Nothobranchius furzeri: one gene and its partner. The protein of the gene in region 2 interacts with the protein of the main gene of each other region in a pairwise test. Links are inferred from orthologs where the notes say so. Each region holds a gene or a part of one and is shown on either strand. Other genes may lie near its edges.

Region 1 (10,426 bases), on a different chromosome or scaffold from region 2:
GAGTCAAGGACGTCTCCTCCGGCGTCTCTGCCTCCGTTCACCACCAGTCCTGCCCTCACCAAGCGCGGGCCCCCAAGAGCCCATCGTCACCTCCTCCTCTGCCACATACGCAGGCCCCCAAGAGCCCGTCGTCGCCTCCTCTGCCCCAGACGCAGGCTCCCGGACTCTACTGGTCCCTGCCTCCTCTGAATCTGTCCCTCTCGGCCCTTCCTCCGTGTCCACCTCCTCCCGCCCTGCTCTATGTTCCTATGGGCATCTGGGATCCGCCCTTTGATGGGGGGGGGGGGGGGGGGGGGGGTCCTGTAACACCCTGCCCTGTCTCCCCATTTGGTTCAGTCCTGTGTTCATGTTAATTGCTCCCACCTGCCTCTCGTCTCCCAATCACCCAAGGTCCCAGCTCCTCCTGTATTTAAACCCCTCCAATTCTGTGTCTCTTGTTGGCTCATTGTTCCCATGTCCTGCGTGTGTTTGTTATTAAAACCTTTTACGTTACCCAGTTTGTCTGCCTGCCTGATTCCTCCCCAGCATGTGGATCCTCACCTCCGTTCCACTCACCGGCACGTCGTGACATATATACACATGTATTTTTCAGTCTGAAGTTATAAAAAACGCATTCCCACAGTAATTAAATGTAAAAAGTCAATGTATTCATCCTGCATGATTTTGTGTCAAGAGTTTACAGTGTAGGAGCTATAGAAATTAGAAAACTTAAAAAATCCACCAAAAATGAGAGAAGTATTTTTTCCTAAAAGTAAAGGAAGTAGTTTGTAGAGGAGCTAAGTATTGACCAGCAGGCATGATTCTGTGTCAGCGTTTACAGTACAAGAATTTTTGAAATTACACAAATTAAAAAATTCACAAAAAACCTGAGAAGTATTTTTTCATGAAAGTAAAGTTTGTAGTTAGTAGAGCAGCTAAGTATTGACCTGCATGCATTATTTTGTGTCAACAGAGTTTACAGTATAGGAGTTATTATTATTATTATTTTTTAAATATCACCAAAAGTCAGAGGGGAACAAAAAAAACAACAACAAAAAAAACAATGCTCAATGCTTTCTGTCTGGCTCACGGCGTACCGAGTGATACCGGGACGCGGGATATTTTCTCGCCGAAAATGATAGCTCTCCTGCGGCATGCCGCTCTTTGAACTCCACGGAACTCCTCCTCATCAGTCTTCTCGATGGTCTTCTCCCCCTTCCCCATCCTCATCAGGGTCAGCTGGGCCTGCTGGTACAAAATTTTCATCCTCCGAGTCCACAGAGTCATTGTCAGAAGACAAGCTTTCCCCACTGGAGACTGTTGGTTCCTGCTGGGCTTCTATAGCTCATAAAAAAGTTCACAGGCTTGTGATACATTAAGACATTGTGCCACTTTTGCAATGGAAAAAAAAAACTAATCCCAATCTGAGCCGTCTATATAAGCATTTTCAGCAAGGACACAAGTGTAAACATTGATTGATGCAGGCATTTGTTTTTACAGGCTGCATCTTTGAAGTTATAGCTGTAGATATTGTGTGTTCATGAGCTTTGAGCTGTTCAAAAAGTTGTATTCTTGTTGGCATTACAACTTCCAACAGTAAATAAGTTGGTAACTTTTGAACATTTGCAGCACATTCAGTTTATATCCAGCTACCACAAAGTTTTGGTGTAGCTCAAAGAGTCTAAGACATATAAAGCCCCACCCTCCCCTCCACCCCCCAACCTCCACCACCCACCAAAGCATGAAAAAATATTTCCTCTGGTAATCTGTCAATTGCATCGAGTCATAAGTGCATGCATGTGGGCAGAAACACACACAAAAAACACATATAAATCTGTTGTTTAGGATTTTGCACTGATATTAGACTTTGGGTGAGAACTGATTTTTCTAACGAAACTGAAAAGAAAAAAAACAGTCACATAAATTATGAAAACACACATGCACACTAGTCTGACATCTCTAAAAACACTCAAACAAAAATTGTTCAAAAAAAATTATTGCATTGTGAATCCAGGGGCCACTAAATCTTCAAAACATAAATTTCTAAAGTGTATTATAAATCAATGTCCTGCCATTTATAGAAATATCATGCCATTTGCTGGAAAAAATTAAAAACAAAAATTTCAGTCCCTAGTGGCAGCAGGAACACAGGTGGAGTGAAATAAAAAAATATTTATAGTGATATTTAGCTTTGTTAGAAAAAGGTTGTTTGAATGAGAGTCTATGGCACCAAAAAATGTCCAGGGACCTCAATGTTCCTTTTTTGTCTACACAATGTTTTAAATGGAGTGTGTGTGTGTGTGTGTGTGTGTGTGTGTGTGTGGGGGGGGGGGGGGGGGGGCATTTTACTTTTAGTAAACTTACCCAGAAACACACACCGGAGACAAAAAATAAAAAGAATTACATCAACACAGTCAAAACTTATAAAAAAAAACATGACTGCCTCACAAAAAAATGCACGAGGGACCTCTAAGGGTTAATTCATTTTCAACGACATTTCAATGGATAATTCCAGAGATTAACAGTAAAAACTACACACTGTCTCTTTAAAAAAAGCAAGATCAAAGACACAGCTACGACAGAGCTAATGCATTTCATTGATAGTTTATTTTTTAGGTGAAAAGTGCCTTTAAGGACCCGGTCAGTGGTTGATTGTAAGGTGAAGTTACACAGACAGCATGAGCAACAAGTGTCAGAATCCTAGTCCTCGCCATAGCTAATGTAATGACAAATGGGAAAACCAGAGACAATGAAAATCTAATGGCGATTTATTTCACAGTCATGGTCCTGTTTTGCATTTCAGAATATTCTTAAGGTATGTGGCACCAAAAGCTAGCTCCTAGCCTCCAAAAATGTTTAAACCACCTGGTGAAACATCTCAGCCTTCTGTCATAAAGCTTTCTAAATATTGCTTTTTTTCTTTAAACTGCATTTGTGCAATAAAATCTCAGTGACAACATCCAAAAGGAAAACACCTGGGACGCTGCTGACTCAGAGGTTTTGGCGTTTGGAGTGATACTGGCATTCTTTAGTACACCCACGACACAGGCACCCATTGGGGGGTGGAGGTGGCGTGCTCCATGGCCTCCTCTACCCCTTTAACGCTCTCATCCACGTCGTTGTTGACAAGAACCACGTCAAAGAAGTGTCCGTACGTGCCCAGGATGGCGTCCGACTCTTTCTGGATCATCTGAAGGTTTTCCGTCTAAGAGAGAGGAAACAGGAAGTTTAGCTATTGGCTCGTTGATTTAGATGTTTTTAAAAAAAGGTGTTTATCGTGTGATGTTGTGGCACCTGTGTGGCGGTGTTGGTGGGAGCTATAAACACCACCAGGGGGGCGAAATCAGCTGTCCGCACAAGTTTTAAGGTCTGTAGGAAGATTTACAAACAAATCAATTACACCCTGGGCACTAAATATTCCAGAAGTGTCCATTACAAAGTCAAAAATGTGAGCATAGTGTTTCTGTTTGTCCGTTCTGACCTGTGGTTCCACATCCAGCACAGCAATCTTGTCTTGATCGTGGATCTTTTGGATGGTCTCGAATTTGGTACCGAACATGTATCCCTGGAAGCTTCCGTACTCCAGCAGCTCGTTTTTGGAGATGCACTTGGTCATGTCTTCATTGGACATGAAGTAATATTCATGTCCGTTCTCCTCGTCCTTCCGCTGGGGTCTGGTTGTGTCTGTGCAAATTCAGTGTTTGAAATGAAGATTTTTGCAAACCTAGCTTCGCTGTAAGAACAAAAACATCCTACTTACGTGGTGCAGGGTAGGAAAATTTCTCAGGGTATCTCATCAACAGTGCATTTTTGATATGGCTCCTTCCCACACCAGGTGCTCCTGAGAAGAGCAAAGTTAAGAGCTCATTCATTCAATTTGCGATGAAGCAAGTTTCCTCTTATGTCCCTGAGAAAGACAGCTTACCGATAAGCACCAGAGTTTTTCTTTTAAAAGCAGGGAGCCTCACCACCTCTTCATAGGAAATCACATCCAGTTGGTCAAAAACTGCAGACAAATGATCATGTTTAGATAAACTTGCACTGGGGTGTAAACTTGGGTCCAGTAATCCTCTCACTTGAGCTGTGCTTAGCGAGATATTTGTCCTTGCACTTCTTCTTCTTTCCAAACGGGCTGCAGGACTGACTTCCCTCCTTGGCCTTGCTTTTACTGGCCACTCTCCTGCAAAGAAACAGGCACATGAAGTTGTATATGCATCTTCAGCTCTGCAGGACCACTAATCAGAAATGATGCGTATCTCTACCACTCTTGGAGCTCTGGGGAAGGTATCAGTCCAGCAAAGTCCACACCGCTGCTCTCCACTCTGCCCTGCCACCAGTTTGGATCCTGCTTGTTAATAATGTGGATGATGTCTCCAGTTTGAAACTTTAGGCCAGCCTCTTTGCATGGGATGAGGTCATCCTTGGTTGGGTCATAATCAAACTGAGCTCTCATGTATGTCTGTGGATAAGGATCAGGACATGTGGAGCAGAGATACTAAATATTTTGTGTAATAAGAATATTTAATCGTTTCTGCACAAATACCACCTTTAGGAAATAAAGTAGTCTAATACAGACTTCAGACATTTCCTTGTTATTTGGATTCTATCAAAGACAAAAGTTAAAATCACCCACGGGTAGAGCATAATGCCAAATGATCATGACAGCTTCTTGCAGAACACTAAAACTGTTTCATAATGAATAATAAAAGCATGAATTGGTTTGACAAATGTAGACTTCAGTCTCATTGATTATTAGAATTTAATTTTAATACAAAACATTCCTAAACTGTCACAGATTATGGAACATGCATACTCCACCCACAGGTGAATTACTACAACCACATTCCTCAATGGCTGGGATCCCCGCAAGAAAATTAATGCAACAGATTTCTGACTTTTTTTTTTACTTAGAATTTATAGAAAATCCTGCAGCAAGGGATGGATATAAGTGTCTCTATGTCTTCCTCAGATATATGCTCTAATGGGAAGTAAAATGCATGTTTTACTTACTTATTTATATATCTATTGATTATGTAATAATCAAAGGACATGTGCGAGTTCACTTCAGTTGAGAACTCAGGAATTTTGGGGAAATTTCTTAGTTTCTCGCCCTCCTGACTCAGATTTGCTCAGATTCTGAATGCTTTGCCTCAGAACTGTGGACTGGAGTCACGTGACTTGGACTTGATTCGCGTAACTTGGACTTGAGTCATGTAACTTGGACTCGAGTCAGATTTGAGTCACAGATTTGATGATTTTAGACTTGACTTGAAAAATGTTTAAAGACTTGTTTTTTATATACCAGTGACTTGGGACTTGACTTAGACTTGAACCTGTTTACGAGAAAAGACCTGGGGTCTCATTTATCAAACATTGCGTAGAATCCTTACTAAAACTGTACTTAAGCTCAGCAAAACAAATGTACTTACGCCAAGTAGGTTTGTGATCTATCAAACATGGAGAACGCACAGCTGCACGCAATCTCCGCTTCATAAATCAGAAACTATCTAGAAAGGTTCTCAGCTGCTTTTTAGTCACATCCCACCCTCACCACGCCCACTTACTGCCATAAATAGTCAATGCAAAGTGCCTTGTGGATCTCATGCATATACATAAGCCGGCTGTTGCAGCGCTCCACCAATGACATGGCGACCGTAGATCAAGGCTACGGTGGCCCTGAAGTGCAAACCACAAAAACAAATCACTTAACGCAAACACAAATTGAAAAGCGCAAAAACAAATCGCTTAGCGGTCTGGCAAGGACCCGGCCTGTGGATTCGGACACACCCGCTGACTGCTCTTTCACATAACCACGTTCGGCAGAACAACTTCCGATTCAAAAGGCCAACGGATCCATCATCCAATCAGTGATGCCTGTTGTTGCAGCATTGGTACCTACCTTTTCCGGTTTGTTTTTTGTTTTTGTGGTTTTCAATTTGGTTTTGTGTTTAGTGAATTTGTTGTTGTGCTTTTCAATTTTTTGTTGTGCTTTTCAATTTGTTGTGCGTTTAGTGATTTTTTGGTGCATTTAGTGAATTTGTTTATGCGCTTAGTGATTTTTTGGTGCATTTAGTGAATTTGTTTTTGCGCGTAGTGATTTTTTGTTGCGTTGTCACGGCTGCCAGCCTGAAGAGGGGAAAAAGCAGCCAGGATCACCCAGCTCTGGTGATTGACTGGACACCGCCCCTCCTCCTCCTCTCTTCCAGGCTGCTGAGGAGCACAGCTGAACTGAATCCTCCTGATGAGCCACACCTGGGATAAAAAGGCTGTGCCTTCAGCAGTCTGGGAGGCAGCAGTGCAGGGGTTCTGCTGTCCTCCAGGTCTCGTTTGGTTTAACCGCGTCGTTATGATGAGTTTTAACTTATAGTTTTAACTCTGAGTGATCCACATGGATCTTTTGTGCAAGTCACCTAGTGTTGACTGTGTTTTAAGGTTAACTCGGATTTAGTTTTTAGACTTTTATCAACGTCACTGTGTTTTAAAACACCTTCAGTTTAGGTAAAACTTTTAATAAAGTTTTAACCAGGTGTTTTATAGTTGATAATTTGTCTTTTAACTGTTAACCTTATAGTGAATTTTTCGTTTTGCATTATTTTAATAATGCTCGCCGTCTGTTTGCTCTTGTTTTTAGAACCTTTTATCACAATTAAACCCATTTTAAATGCCACTGTCGTATTTCTTATGTTACCCCCTCCTTCACATTTTAACATCTCCTGTCGGGGACGTAACATAAATGGGGGCTCGTCCGGGATATTTATTTTAACAGCAGACCGTGAAGGAATGTACAATCCCTGGTGGTGGTATTTTAATGGTGTTTTATTTGTTTCAAGGTTTTAAACAGATGGCTTTGTGGATGACTGGCGGGTGCTTCTGGAGGCCTAGCTCCCGCTGGAGGATCCACTGCTGGATGGGCTCTCAGAAGCTTCAAGTCTGATCCAGCCCAAGGAGAGGAGGATAAAAGACGTGGATCCTGAGATGGCCCCCACAGGCAGGCTCAGGTGTTGCACCTAGCGGGTTAGCGTTGGTGGTTTACTCCACCATCTCGGGAGCACCCCAGGAAGGGCAGTGGCTAACCCCCTCCCTTTGCTGGTCGGAATGTGCAACAGCACATGTGCTTAATCTGCCCGCCTGCGAAGTGCATGAAGAGTAGGGATTTTAGATAGCCTGTTTTATTTTATCGGGGGTCTCTTTTGTTTTTATGTGATCCTAGCTGTTAAAGAAAAAGTTTTAAAAGTTTCTATTGTGTCCTTTACTAACTTTTATCCTTTTTCTTTTGTTTATGTGTGGGGGTGTCACGGCTGCCAGCCTGAAGAGGGGAAAAAGCAGCCAGGATCACCCAGCTCTGGTGATTGACTGGACACCGCCCCTCCTCCTCCTCTCTTCCAGGCTGCTGAGGAGCACAGCTGAACTGAATCCTCCTGATGAGCCACACCTGGGATAAAAAGGCTGTGCCTTCAGCAGTCTGGGAGGCAGCAGTGCAGGGGTTCTGGTGTCCTCCAGGTCTCGTTTGGTTTAACCCCGTCATTATGATGAGTTTTAACTTATAGTTTTAACTCTGAGTGATCCACATGGATCTTTTGTGCAAGTCACCTAGTGTTGACTGTGTTTTAAGGTTAACTCGGATTTAGTTTTTAGACTTTTATCAACCTCATTGTGTTTTAAAACACCTTCAGTTTAGGTAAAACTTTTAATAAAGTTTTAACCAGGTGTTTTATAGAGTTGATAATTTGTCTTTTAACTGTTAACCTTATAGTGAATTTTTTGTTTTGCATTATTTTAATAATGCTCGTAGTCTGTTTGCTCTTGTTTTTAGAACCTTGTATCACAATTAAACCCATTTTAAACGCCACTGTTGTATTTCTTATGTTACCCCCTCCTTCATATTTTAACATCTCCTGTCGGGGACGTAACATGCGTTTAGTGATTTGTTTTTGCACTTAGTGATTTTTTGTTGCATTTAGTGAAATTGTTTTTGCGCTTTTCAATTTGTTGTGCGTTTAGTGATTTGTTGTTAGGCTTTTCAATTTGTTGTTGTGCTTTTCAATTTGTTGTGCATTTAGTGACTTGTTTTTGTGTTTAGTGAATTTGTTGTTGCATTTTTCATTTTGTTGTGCGTTTAGTGATTTGTTTTTGTGGTTTGCACTTCAGGGCCACCGTACAAGGCAGATCAAGGAAGCCCAATTTCACACAAGCTGAAATTGAGGTACTTGTGGGTGAGGTGGAGAAATGAAAGGAAGTACTTTTGCAAAACAAATATGAGAAAATCCACAGAGTGGCACAGCATTGCTGAAGCCGTCAATGTTGTGAGTTCTTCAGAGAGATCTGTGGCGGATATAAAAAAAAATGGTCCAATCGGGATTCGATCCCCAGACTCCCAGGTGAAAGTCACGCATGCTAACCTGTCACCCTATTGGAGATCTGCCTTGTCCAACTAACCAGGGTGCATGATCAATCGGTTCACAGTGACAGGACACACACTTTCACAGATGCATGACATTCTGTCTCAATCTGTCCCCCTGCTGATCTTCTGCATTCTGTATTCTGCGCTTCAGGCTGTGTGTGTGTGTGTGTGTGTGTGTGTGCGTGCGTGTGTGTGAGTGTGCGCGCGCGCGTGTGTGTGCGTACGTGTGCGCACGCATGTGTGTGCGTGTGGGGGGTCTTGTTCTGTGTGAAAACGAAGAGTAGACGTGATAATGCTGCAGGATTTCATAATTTTATCCTTCTCAGCAGCAGCACTGCAGGTGCTCTCCATGTCCAAAATGTGTGTAAGCCAGGTCCTTATTCAACTTAAAGTTGCGTACATTTTTCCGCTAAGTTTTCTTTCATAAATCCCAAAATTTGCGTGGAAAGTTGCTTATGCAGTTTTCCAACCCCGTTCTGTGCGTAAGCAAGCTTGATAAATGAGGCACCTGATATTTGGCCCAATATTTAGTTTAAAACATTTGAGAATTTCCCATTTTTAAGTTATTTCGCTCAACCCCGTATTAACAAACGGGGACGTCTGTCTGTAGGCTAGCAAGTGTGTGAGAGCTGCAGTACAGCCAATCAAATTAACCAGATTTAAAAAGAGAAACGGAATCCAGCAGAATCCTCTGTTTCTGTAAACGGCGCTGCAGCTAACATTTATGTTTTGGGTACACACATCACAAATTCATTAACAAAAAATGCAGAGCAATATGTAAACCATGCAAGAAAAGAAATACAGAAGGAGATGGAACAACTCCTAACCGGGTTCGACATTTGAAGTTGAACGGTAGGTGGTCGTTTTTTTTTTTTTTCGTACAATGAGATAGATACCTTCAGCTAACTACTCCTTATGAACATGTTCTCCGGCCTAAGTTTATGGTACTGTTTGGCTCTAACATGCATGTTGTTTTTGTCATGCCATTTTAAATCATGTTTTAAAATTGCATCTAAGAATAATCGGCTGCTAATTAGCTCAGGATTACATCCAGACAGCAGGTTCTTTATTATTGTCTCCAGCAGACAGAACTTTTGGCGAGCCGTGAAGTGCAATGTTATGGCCGGAGCCATTTGTGTTGTTTCATTTTTTTACACCTTTATCCTCCTTTTTCATGTTAGCACATGTGGTGCTGCACCTGAGGAGCTGTCCAGAGCTCCATGCCTGCAGACTGGGCGTGTCTGCTCAACCTGGCTCCGCCCAGCACCAGATGTGCAGAGTCGCCATCAGCGGCTGATTGCTTCAAGCGAAGATATTCAATTCCGGTCCTCGAAGGCTGGTATCCAGAATGTTTTAGTTGTTCCTCTGCTCCAACACACCTGATTCAGTGGTTGAATCACCTGTGCAGCAGTTCACCAGGCTTTGCAGAAGCCTGTAAATCACCTGCTGATTGAAATCAGGTGTGTTGAAACAAAGTTAAAACTAAAACATGGTTGAAACCAGCCCTCCAGGCCCAGAACTGAATCTTCTGGAGGTCATCACCAGTGCAGCAACAGTTCAGAACTGCTTTCCTCCAGCCTTTTGTCTCCCATTTAGAATGTGACTTTGATACTGAGTAGTGTTAAGAGTAATTTGTAGTATTTTCAGTGTTGCATTTGGAGAGGTTTAGAGCTCTCGTGTTTACATTTGGTTTTCACAGGGCTAAGACCTTTTTGTATTTGTTTCTGTTTTGAAAAGAAAAAACTTAAAACTTTTGTTAATGTTTTATCACTTGTGTCACATGTGGGTTGTAACATGCAACAATTGAACAAAAAGGGTTTTTAGGACATTTGGAAATAAACTTGGTTTGTAATTCTTTTGAGAACGTGGTGCATTAAAGTTTATTCAGAGACGTCCAATCCACGAGCCCATGAATCCTATTGGCTGTTGTCACGCCAGCTGGAGGGAGAAAATGCTGATTTTTAGAAAAATGCTCGAAAGGACTTTAAATCAGAAGTTTCAGATTTGGGACATGACTTGAAACGTGTCTGTTTAGTTCCACCTCTA
Region 2 (10,526 bases):
TTCACTCGGGTGTCCAAAACATACGGCCGCAGGTCAGATGATACGACTACAAAATCTATCATCGACCTGTGACCTAGGCTGCCCTGGTACCAAGTGTACCGGTGGGCATCCTTATGTTCGAACATGGTGTTCGTTATGGCCAAACTGCGGCTTGCACAGAAGTCCAATAACAAAACACCGCTCGAGTTCAGATTAGGTGGGCCGTTCCTCCCAATCACACCCCTCCAGGTCAAGCTGTCATTGCCCACGTGAGCATTGAAGTCCCCCAGCAGGACAATGGAGTCCCCTGATGGAGCACTATCTAGCACTTGTCCCAGGGACTCCAAAAAGGGTGGGTACTCTGAACTGATATTTGGCCCATAAGCACAAACAACAGTCAGGACCCGTTCCCCGACCCGAAGGCGCAAGGAAGCTACCCTCTTGTCCCCCGGGGTAAACCCCAACACACAGGCAGAGAGTCTCGGGGCTAACAAAAAGCCAACCCCAGCCCTCCGCCTCTCACCCGGAGCAACTCCAGCAAAGTAGAGTGTCCAACCCCTCTCCAGGTCTCGGGTTCCAGAGCCAATGCAATGTGTCGAGGTGAGTCCGACTATATCTAGCCGGTACCGCTCAACCTCTGCCACAAGCTCCGGCTCCTTCCCCGCCAGCGAGGTGACGTTCCATGTCCCAAAAACTAGTTTTCTTGTCCAGGGATTGGACCGCCAAGGCTCCCGCCTTGGTCTGCCACCCGATTCACATTGCACCGGACCCTTCATGTTCCTCCTGCGGGTGGTGGGTCCACAGTTGGACGAGCCCATGTATCCGGTTCGGGCTGGGCCCGGCCGGGCCCCATGGGCGAAAGCCCGGCCACCAGGCGCTCGCTCACGGGCCCCAACCCCAGGCCTGGCTCCAGGGTGGGACCCCGGTAACCCTCCGGGCCGGGTACTCCAACTCTTCGTTTTAACCGCCATGAAAGATCCTCCGAACCATTCTTTGTCTCACCCTTCACCTAAGACCAATTTGTCATGGGAGACCCTACCAGGGGCACTAAGTGCCCCAGACAACATAGCTCCTAGGATCATTAGGGCACTCAAACTCCTCCACCACGATAAGGTGTATGCATGTTTTAAAAAATGCTGATACTTGCAAGGTTTAAGCACTTTATACACTTAATTCTTAACATTTAATTTTTGCAATATAAATTGAGGAATGTTATTTTTTGAATAAACTTGTTCAATAAATTGGTGTTTTTAAATAGTATCGAAATCGAGTTTTTTTCCCCAGTATCGAATCGAGTTTTAAATTTTAGTATCGTGGCAACCCTAGCAGTGAATGAGTTAAACATTTTCAACAAGTTGTTCAGCACCAGTCCTTTTGGAGCCGCAGGTGTTACGTGTGTGTCTCTCATCCAGTTGGTGAGTGACAGGAAGTAAGCGGCTGGTTTTCTGACCTGACAGGAAATGACTGGATGGTTTAGAGACTCACCGCCGGCTGCGTGTCGGCCAAACACAACTCAAAGTCCAGCAGAACTTCAGGCTCAACGCTGAGCTCTGAACACAACGCCTTCACCAGGGCTGGGTGGTGCTTCTCCATCTGAGAGGGATTAGAAATAAAAAGACACATTTCAGTTTCTCAGCTTCTCTAAAACTGAAAAAGTTTCAGTTTTGCTGAAAAAGAAAAAACAGAAGCAATTTGAAAAAGGCTCCCACAAAATAAAAATTATTTAAAAATCCATTTTACTATTTAAAGGGACTTTTCGGACTTTTGAATTTTTATGCTCGTGATTGCCCCCTCAGGCCAAAAGCGTAACAGCAGCTTCAATAGTAGGCTCGTGCACGAGGCGCACATGCTGTACGTGCACACTCCTTAACGAAAATAACATTTGAGATAGTCGTGTGTGTGTGTGTGTGTGTGTGTGTGTGTGCGCGTGTGTGTGTGGCCCGGAGGACAGAGGACAGGAGAACGTGCAGCTAATTAATTGAATAATTTTGTTCTGTACCTTTCTCTTCAGCACAGCCGACAAAGGTTTATGATGGGTCGGTCCTCCAGCATGCTCAGATCATTCCCTTCCCTTGCTTGAAAAATTGTTCCAAAATGAAAGTTGAACCCACATCTTTTTTATCTGTGAATTCAATGCCGTTCGGCGAGTCTATAATAAAAATTTGGGCATCTTACTGTAAAAAAATACCATTAATGTAAAAAAGAAACTCTAAATAAACTATGTTCACATCCAGAATCAAACCCAGGTCTTCTGCATGGGAGTCCAACGTCTTACTAGGTGAGCGAAAGCACCAGTGACATCCTTTGTATCTGTAACATTTATATCCTTGATGACAGCTGAAACAACGTCAAATCAAAGAACGGTTCAAAGCAAAAATGGCTATTTTGTTGTTAATTTGCAGGAAATATCTAGAAGAATGTTCCACAGAAAGTAGCTAAGGGTCCTCAGAAATGTAGCTAGGTTCATCACTAGGCGTTAGGAACAGCGACAAAGTGGCACTGCCTCTCTCTCTGCTGCTAAAGCTACGGATAGCAAATGCTACGGGCTGTGTCTGAGCGTGAACGCGCATGAAGCAGCCTGCTCGACCCGAGCATCTCTCTTCTTCTGTGATTTTACAGAAAAACAGGCAATCACAGTAAAAATGCCAGGGCTCATTCTATTTATTATTTCGATACATGTTTTGGCTGTCAAACTTCCTTTATAGTCCCTTTAAACAGAATCACGTAAAATATGTTAAAGATTTAGTGACAAACTTTGTAATGTTTTTTAATTATTTAGACATTTTAAGTGATTAAATATATAAACGGATTTGAGGTTTTTACCGTGGTGGAGGCGCAGGAAGCATCTCCAGATGAAGAAGAACCCGTCTCTAGCTCCTCCTGAACGGCCGTGGCGATTATGGGAACTCTAGAACACAGAAAAGAAATCTCTTCCTCATCAAGGTGTTCTGTTAGATCACGTTTGTACCGCTCTGGATTTACCAGGACCGCCTCCTGCAGCGGGTCTCGGTACTGTTATTGTGCTCTGCGTCCTGGAGAGGTTACTGTGTTCACACCTACATAAACGAACCACCTCAAAGGAGAAAACGGACTAAATGAGACATGTGGTGAGGGAGTTTACCACCTGGTTATGATGTCATCAACAGGTAAAGGAAACTCTAACACACTCAAGAGGACATGTGGAGTTTTAGCTTGTTTCCTAAAGAGAAAACAGCTCCAAAGGATTCTGATGCTAATAACTTGTCGGATTTTCATCTAAACCAACATTCCACCATGACCTAAAACTGGAAAAAAAAGGGCCAGAAAATGAACTCACAAGTGGTTCTCCTTGTTTGGGCCGAAGGAGTCGTTGATGTCCCGCTGCAGGTGGATGGCGAGGTGAGGAACCCTGAGGAGAGGCCGGGGGATGTGGACCAGCCGGTGGATGAGCTTCCCACCACTCTGCAGGGACAAGATCAGCAGCCATGACTCCAGAAGATTCGTGAATGACCCAAACAACTCTGACAGGAAGACTTAGTCCTGTGTGGTTACATTCCCCAAGACAAAGTGTTTCCTTCTATTGTAACAACAACCAAAGGGAATAGCAACAGAATAAATCTGTTATAATCAACAAAACAACCACATAACACAAATAAATCATATTTTTCCGGGTAAATAATAAACAAAACCACAAAAGCACTCATCAGCTGTGATCAAACTGATGATGAGGTCTAATTTAGCAGAGTTTGACCGAAAACTGACCACATGGAAATGTTCAGGGTTTCAGATTTTGTCTTTAGAGATCTGGCGCCCCCTGCAGTTTAAACACAGTAAAAACACCTTTTCCTTCCAGGTTGATCTCCAAGTGTTCAGAAGAAAACTATTAAGACCTAAATGATCTGAAATGCTAAAATATTTTTAAAAAACCTTAAAACCATAAAATCCAAAGTCCATTGATACAACTAGTTTCTGATGAGATACAAAAAAAGGTTTTCTAAAGTAGAAAAATGTCTGAATGCAAGAAATGTCTGTAACTGTAGACATAGATCTCCAACAGACCTGAGAGATTTTCACAGCATTTTTCCAAATTTGTCACAGTTAATCGTTTGTAGATCTGAAGACTGTTGATGCACAAAGACTTTCACAGAAGAAAACAACAAAAGGTAAAAAGAAAACAGGAATAAAAAACAAACAAGCTTAAAAACCCTCCAGCGGGTTTAAGTGATGTCATCAAGTTAACGATGACATAAATCCTGGTACCTTGACTATTACGCGGCCGGCGATGGTCAGGTCTCGATCGAACCAGGTGTTCCAGATGCCGCCGCCGTAACACTCCACACCCACCTGCAGACAGCCCTGCTTTGTCCTCTTAGACCTCGGCTTCACCTGGAAGTGCGCACACGCGCACAAACACACACACACACACACACACACACACACACACACACACACACACACACACACACACACACACACACACACACACACACACACACACATTTTAGAATGTAGAATTTAGAATACAGTTTAAAGTTTTAGTGCTGACCTATAGAGCTCTTAACAACCAGGCTCCAAGCTATTTATCTGAGCTTTTATCCCCACACACCACTTCACGGAACCTCCAATCCACATCTGAAAACCTCCTGGCTGTTCCTCGAACCAGACTAAAACCCAAAGGGGACAGGGCCTTTCAGTCTATTGCCCCCAGACTTTGGAACAGTCTGCCTTCAAATCTCCGTCTCTTGAAATCTGTAGAGGTCTTTAAAAAACATCTTAAAACTCACCTTTTCATCCAGGCTTTCCCCCGCTAAATATTCTAAAAGATGGCTTTGTTCTTGTTCACACCTTGACTTTGTTTTTACTCCTGATTTTGGTCACTATTGTTGTCACTGCTATTGTTTTTATGATGTTTTTATTGGTGGGGCCTTACTCTGAGGCAGGGGCTGTCTGTGTGGGCTCCGATCATGGAGAAACCATTCCCTGGCAGGTAACATCCGCCCACTGCAAAAGCAATGAGACTGGAGAAGTTCCTGGTCACAAAGTACTACAAACAGGAAGATGATTTGTTATAAATCAGCCATGAAACCTGAAAACTCTCCCCCGTGACCTTTAACCCTAACCCACCTTGCCGGCTGGCTTGATGTCCCACTGCTCAGACTCCTTCAGCTCAATAAATCCAGCCTCGAACAGATGTTGCCTGCATTCTTCAACCACTACAGAGCAGAAAAATAGTTAGGATTCGGACATTTAGTGACAGTAATAAAAATAATCAAGATCAGTTAATTCATTCATGAATGATTATTTACAAGCTTGCAATCTAGTTTCACTCAGAGCTCCTATATCTAACCTTTTCTCAGGAAGGAGCGGCGTTCGCAGATGCGACACGTTATGAAATATCTGTTCTTCTTTATCTTATCTGGAGCTCAAAGTCGTCTGGTAATCTGACCGGCGTCTTGACTTGGGACCAAGATAATGCTGACAGCTGCACATCTCTTTGGTCTATGATTACAGGAGAAAAAGTAACCTGACCACTAACAGCTGGCAGGTTTTAACCCTCTGCCTTATCAAATATAACCTGTTATCGCTTCATCTGAACTTAGTTCAGAGTTTAGGTGGCAAAATTCGAGTTTTAAAATGTTTTAAAGGCAAAAAAATATTTAAAATTTTAAAGAACACTGACTAAATGACAAGGGGTTAATAATTTTGACTCTAGAAATAAAAAAGTAGCACAAAATCACAGGTTCAGTTTAATTTTGTGTTGCTCCTGCTTTTAACGTTTATTACAATGTTTGATCTCCAAAGACATGAATAACAAAAGTTGATTTCATGTTAGAATGACAACAAATCTATTTGTAGGGAAAATACAAAAATAAAGCATCATCCTGTAGCAAAACACCGAGAAACAAGCCTGAAGACATTTAGACTTTCCTGCATCGTAAGGTTTGTTTACAACGTTAAATTCAATAGTTACATGACTTTACCGTGATATGGAGACACTCCTTTGTTGACAAACTGCAGAAACTCTTTGGCTGCTTTTTGAACTGCTTCTTTCTTCATGATCAAACTCTTGAAGAAAAAGGTTAAAAGTGAATTTCGAAACAGCTAACAGCTAAATGATGCTAGTTGCAACTCCAGGGCAACAGGTTCCAGCCTTTATCTGCTAAGGTAAATCAGACAAACTAACACAAACCTTTAACCTGGTTTCAGTTAGAGATAATTACAACAAAAACGTTTTTAGGGTGCAGTTCAACACCAAAATAATGACCGTCTCGCCCGATAAAAGGAAGCACCGGGGCTTAAATCCAGCTAACCCGAACGGTTTTGCTCTGTTCCTGTTTTCTTCAACCAGAAACTAAAGCAAAAACCAGATTCCAGCTAGGAAACAACACCCAGTTATGAATCAAACACAAATAATAATTTTTATGACACTTACCATCGTCAGTCTGGAATGAGACAGGAAAAGAGCAGAGATTGTTTATGATCGTGGAGCGCCAGCGACACCCTGCGGTCGGGAGGTGCAACTAAACATTTTAGCTTTTAACAGGTTTTCTATTGGATAATATGTTTAATCTAATATGTAAAATAATTATGGGTTTCATAAACACTAAAAATACTGTTGACACTTTTACTTAAAGTTCTAAAGTGAATAATTTGGATAATATGAGATCTTCAGTTAAATAGTGACAAAACTTTATCAACTATGATAACTAAGACGTTGATAATTCAATTATTTTTCCATTTTGCTTCTATTTTCATTTCTAAGCTATCTGTTTCTTATCTGTTTATAATGTAAAGTGGCAACTGTTTATCATTGTATTGCCACAGGAACTAGCCTTACATAGTCCTGAGCACCATGAGAGGAGGAGGAGGAGGAGGAGAAAACAATGAAGAGATGTTTACCTCAGCTGTCATTTTGTATTTTCTCTGCTGCTTTTCGAGGAAGCCCAGAGGGAGGAGAACACACACTCACACATTCAGACTCTATTAATAGATGTGAGAGCAACAGGCTGCAGTTCTGAACATCTTCAGCACCAGATCATGTGGGAATTTCTCTTAAAGCACCAGCAGCGCTCTGAATTTATGATGGTTAAATGATGTGAGCAGCTGCATCATCACACTGAAAAGTAATCGTGATGGTTCTTTATTTACATAACGGGTTTCGAAACACGTTTTTACAGTTCATAAAACTGACTTTAAATTTAATCAATTGTAAATCTAAAAGCATGTGTAGATTTTTTAAAAATTGGAAAATTTGAGCAAAGAGTGGGAACACAAGGGATTTTGTTTGCATCACTGCATCGTCGTCATCTTCCTCCGCTTATCCGGGTCCGGGTCGCGGGGGCAGCAACCCAACTAGGGAGCTCCAGACCGTCCTCTCCCCGGTCACCTCCACCAGTTCCTCCGGCAGTATCCCAAGGCGTTCCCGGACCAGATTGGAGCTGTAACCTCTCCAACGTGTCCTGGGTCGACCCGGGGGCCTCCTGCCGGCAGGACATGCCCGGAACACCTTCCCAGGGAGGCGTTCAGGAGGCATCCTGACCAGATGCCCAAACCACCTCAACTGGCTCCTTTCGATCAGGAGGAGCAGCGGTTCTACTCCGAGTCCCTCCCGAATGTCCGAGCTCCTCACCCTATCCCAAAGGCTGAGCCCGGCCACCCTACGGAGGAAACTCATTTCAGCCGCTTGTATCCGCAATCTTGTTCTTTTGGTCATTACCCAAAGCTCATGACCATAGGTGAGGATTGGGACGTAGATCGACCGGTAAATTGAGAGCCTGGCTTTCTGGCTCAGCTCCCTCTTCACCACGACAGATCGGCTCAGCGTCCGCATCACTGCGGACGCTGAACCAATCCGCCTGTCGATCTCCCGATCCCTCCTACCCTCACTCGTGAACAAGACCCCGAGATACTTAAACTCCTCCACTTGAGGTAGGACCTCTCTCCTGACCCGGAGTTGGCAAGCCACCCTTTTCCGGTCGAGAACCATGGTCTCAGATTTGGAGGTGCTGATCCTCATCCCAGCCACTTCACATTCGGCCGCGAACCTACCCAGCAAGAGCTGAAGGTCAGAGCTGGATGAAGCTAGGAGGACCACATCATCCGCAAAAAGCAGAGACGAGATTCTCCTGCCACCAAACTCGACACACTCCACACCACGGCTGCGCCTAGAAATTCTGTCCATAAAGGTAATGAACAGAACCGGTGACAAAGGGCAGCCCTGGCGGAGTCCAACCCTCACTGGGAACAGGTCCGGCTTACTACCAGCTATGCGGACCAAACTCACGCTCCTCTGGTAAAGGGACTGAATGGCCCTTAACAAAAGGCCACCCACCCCATACTCCTGGAGCGGCCCCACAGGGTGCCCCTGGGGACACGGTCATAAGCCTTCTCCAAATCCACAAATCACATGTGGATTGGTTGGGCAAACTCCCATGCCCCCTCCATCACCCTTGCTGGTCCACGGTTCCACGGCCAGGACGACAACCACATTGCTCCTCCTCAATCTGAGATTCAACTATCAATCGGACCCTCCTCTCCAGTACCTTGGAGTAGACCTTTCCAGGGGGCTGAGGAGTGTGATCCCCCTATAGTTGGAACACACCCTCAGGTCACCCTTCTTAAAGATGGGGACCACCACCCCGGTCTGCCACTCCACAGGAACTGCCCCCTATGACCACGCAATTTTGCAGAGACGTGTCAACCATGACAGCCCTACAACATCCATAGCCTTGAGATAGCCAGGACGAATCTCATCCACCCCCGGGGCTCCGCCGCTGTGTAGTTGTTTGACTACCTCAGCAACTTCTGCCCCAGAGATTGAACATTCCATCCCCAGGTCTCCCGGCTCTGGTTCCTCCTCAGAATGCGCGTAGGTGGGACTGAGGAGCTTCTCAAATTATTCCTTCCACCGCCCGACTATAGCCCCAGTTGACGTCAGCAGCTCCCCATCCCCACTGTAAACAGTGTGAGCGAGTTGCTGCCTTCCTTTCCTGAGGTGCCAGACAGTTTGCCAGAACCTCTTTGGAGCCGATCGATAGTCTTTCTCCATGGCCTCACCAAACTCCTCCCGTGCCCGAGATTTTGCCTCGGCAACTGCCACTGCTGCACCCCGCTTGGCTATCCGGTACCTGTCTGCTGCCTCCGGAGACCCACAGACCAGCCACGCCCTGTAGGCCTCCTTCTTCAGCCTGACGGCTCCCCGAACCTCTGGTGTCCACCAGCGGGTACGGGGGTTGCCACCACGACTGGCACCGGCCACCTTGCGACCACAGATAGCAACAGCCGCCTCAACAATCGCAGAGTGGAACAAGGCCCACTCCCCTACTGCTCTCGGGATGCGGTCAAAACTCTGCCGGAGGTGGGAGTTGAAGACTGTCTTGACAGGTTCTTCTGCCAGGTGTTCCCAGCAGACCCTCACTATGCATTTGGGTCTGCCAGGTCTACGCGGCATCTTCCCCTGCCGTCTGATCCAACTCACCACCAGGTGGTGATCAGTTGACAGCTCCGCTCCTCTCTTCACTCGGGTGTCCAAAACATACGGCCGCAGGTCAGATGATACGACTACAAAGTCTATCATCGACCTGCGACCTAGGCTGCCCTGGTACCAAGTGTACCGGTGGGCATCCTTATGTTCGAACATGGTGTTCGTTATGGCCAAACTGCGGCTTGCACAGAAGTCCAATAATGAAACACCACTCGATTTCAGATCAGGTGGGCCGTTCATCCCAATCACACCCCTCCAGATCATGCTGTCATTTCCCACATGAGCATTGAAATCCCCCAGCAGGACAATGGAGTCCCCTGATAGAGCACTATGTAGCACTTGTCCCAAGGACTCCAAAAAGGGTGGGTACTCTGAACTGATATTTGGCCCATAAGCGCAAACAACAGTCAGGACCCGTTCCCCGACCCGAAGACACAGGGAAGCTACCCTCTCGTCCCCCGGGGTAAACCCCAACACACAGGCAGAGAGTCTTGGGGCTAACAAAAAGCCAACCCCAGCCCTCCGCCTCTCACCCGGAGCAACTCCAGCAAAGGAGAGTGTCCAACCGCTCTCAAGGACTTGGGTCCCAGAGCCCATGCTATGTGTCGAGGTGAGTCCGACTATATCTAGCCGGTACCGCTCAACCTCTGCCACAAGCTCCTGCTCCTTCCCCGCCAGCGAGGTGACGTTCCATGTCCCAAAAACCAGTTTTGTTCTCCGGGGATCGGACCGCCAAGGCTCCCGCCTCGGTCTGCCACCCGATCCACACTGCACCGGACCCTTCTTGTTGCTCCTGTAGGTGGTGGGTCCACAGTTGGATGAGCTCATGCATCCGGTTCGGGCTGGGCCCAGCCGGGCGCCATGGGCGAAAGCCCGGCCACCAGGCGCTCGCTCACGGGCCCCAACCCCAGGCCTGGCTTCAGGGTGGGACCCCGGTAACCCTCCGGGCCGGGTGCTCCGACTCTTTGATTGTAAATCCATGAGAGATCCTCTGAACCGTTCTTTTTCTCACCCTTCATCTAAGACCAATTTGTCATGGGAGACCCTACCAGGAGCACAAAGTGCCCAAGACAACATATCTTCT

Evidence for each region.
Region 1: the proteins of dnpep (region 2) and mpp1 interact in binary tests that used the Homo sapiens proteins (3 or more experiments, as listed by UniProt). The two-hybrid records come from large-scale screens. The link is inferred for Nothobranchius furzeri from reciprocal best matches to the Homo sapiens genes DNPEP and MPP1.

Annotation. Positions count from the first base shown.
Region 1 is NC_091750.1:51,666,581-51,677,006, forward strand, and holds the end of mpp1 (55 kDa erythrocyte membrane protein), read right to left. Parts: intron 4,439-10,426; coding exon 4,242-4,438; intron 4,160-4,241; coding exon 4,056-4,159; intron 3,986-4,055; coding exon 3,905-3,985; intron 3,821-3,904; coding exon 3,740-3,820; intron 3,664-3,739; coding exon 3,461-3,663; intron 3,349-3,460; coding exon 3,274-3,348; intron 3,185-3,273; coding exon 3,008-3,184; 3' UTR 2,568-3,007; downstream 1-2,567. UniProt on the Homo sapiens protein: Essential regulator of neutrophil polarity. Regulates neutrophil polarization by regulating AKT1 phosphorylation through a mechanism that is independent of PIK3CG activity.
Region 2 is NC_091743.1:83,106,593-83,117,118, forward strand, and holds the start of dnpep (aspartyl aminopeptidase), read right to left. Parts: upstream 6,467-10,526; 5' UTR 6,395-6,466; coding exon 6,392-6,394; intron 6,025-6,391; coding exon 5,940-6,024; intron 5,172-5,939; coding exon 5,083-5,171; intron 5,003-5,082; coding exon 4,889-5,002; intron 4,345-4,888; coding exon 4,219-4,344; intron 3,421-4,218; coding exon 3,296-3,420; intron 2,888-3,295; coding exon 2,803-2,887; intron 1,573-2,802; coding exon 1,465-1,572; intron 1-1,464.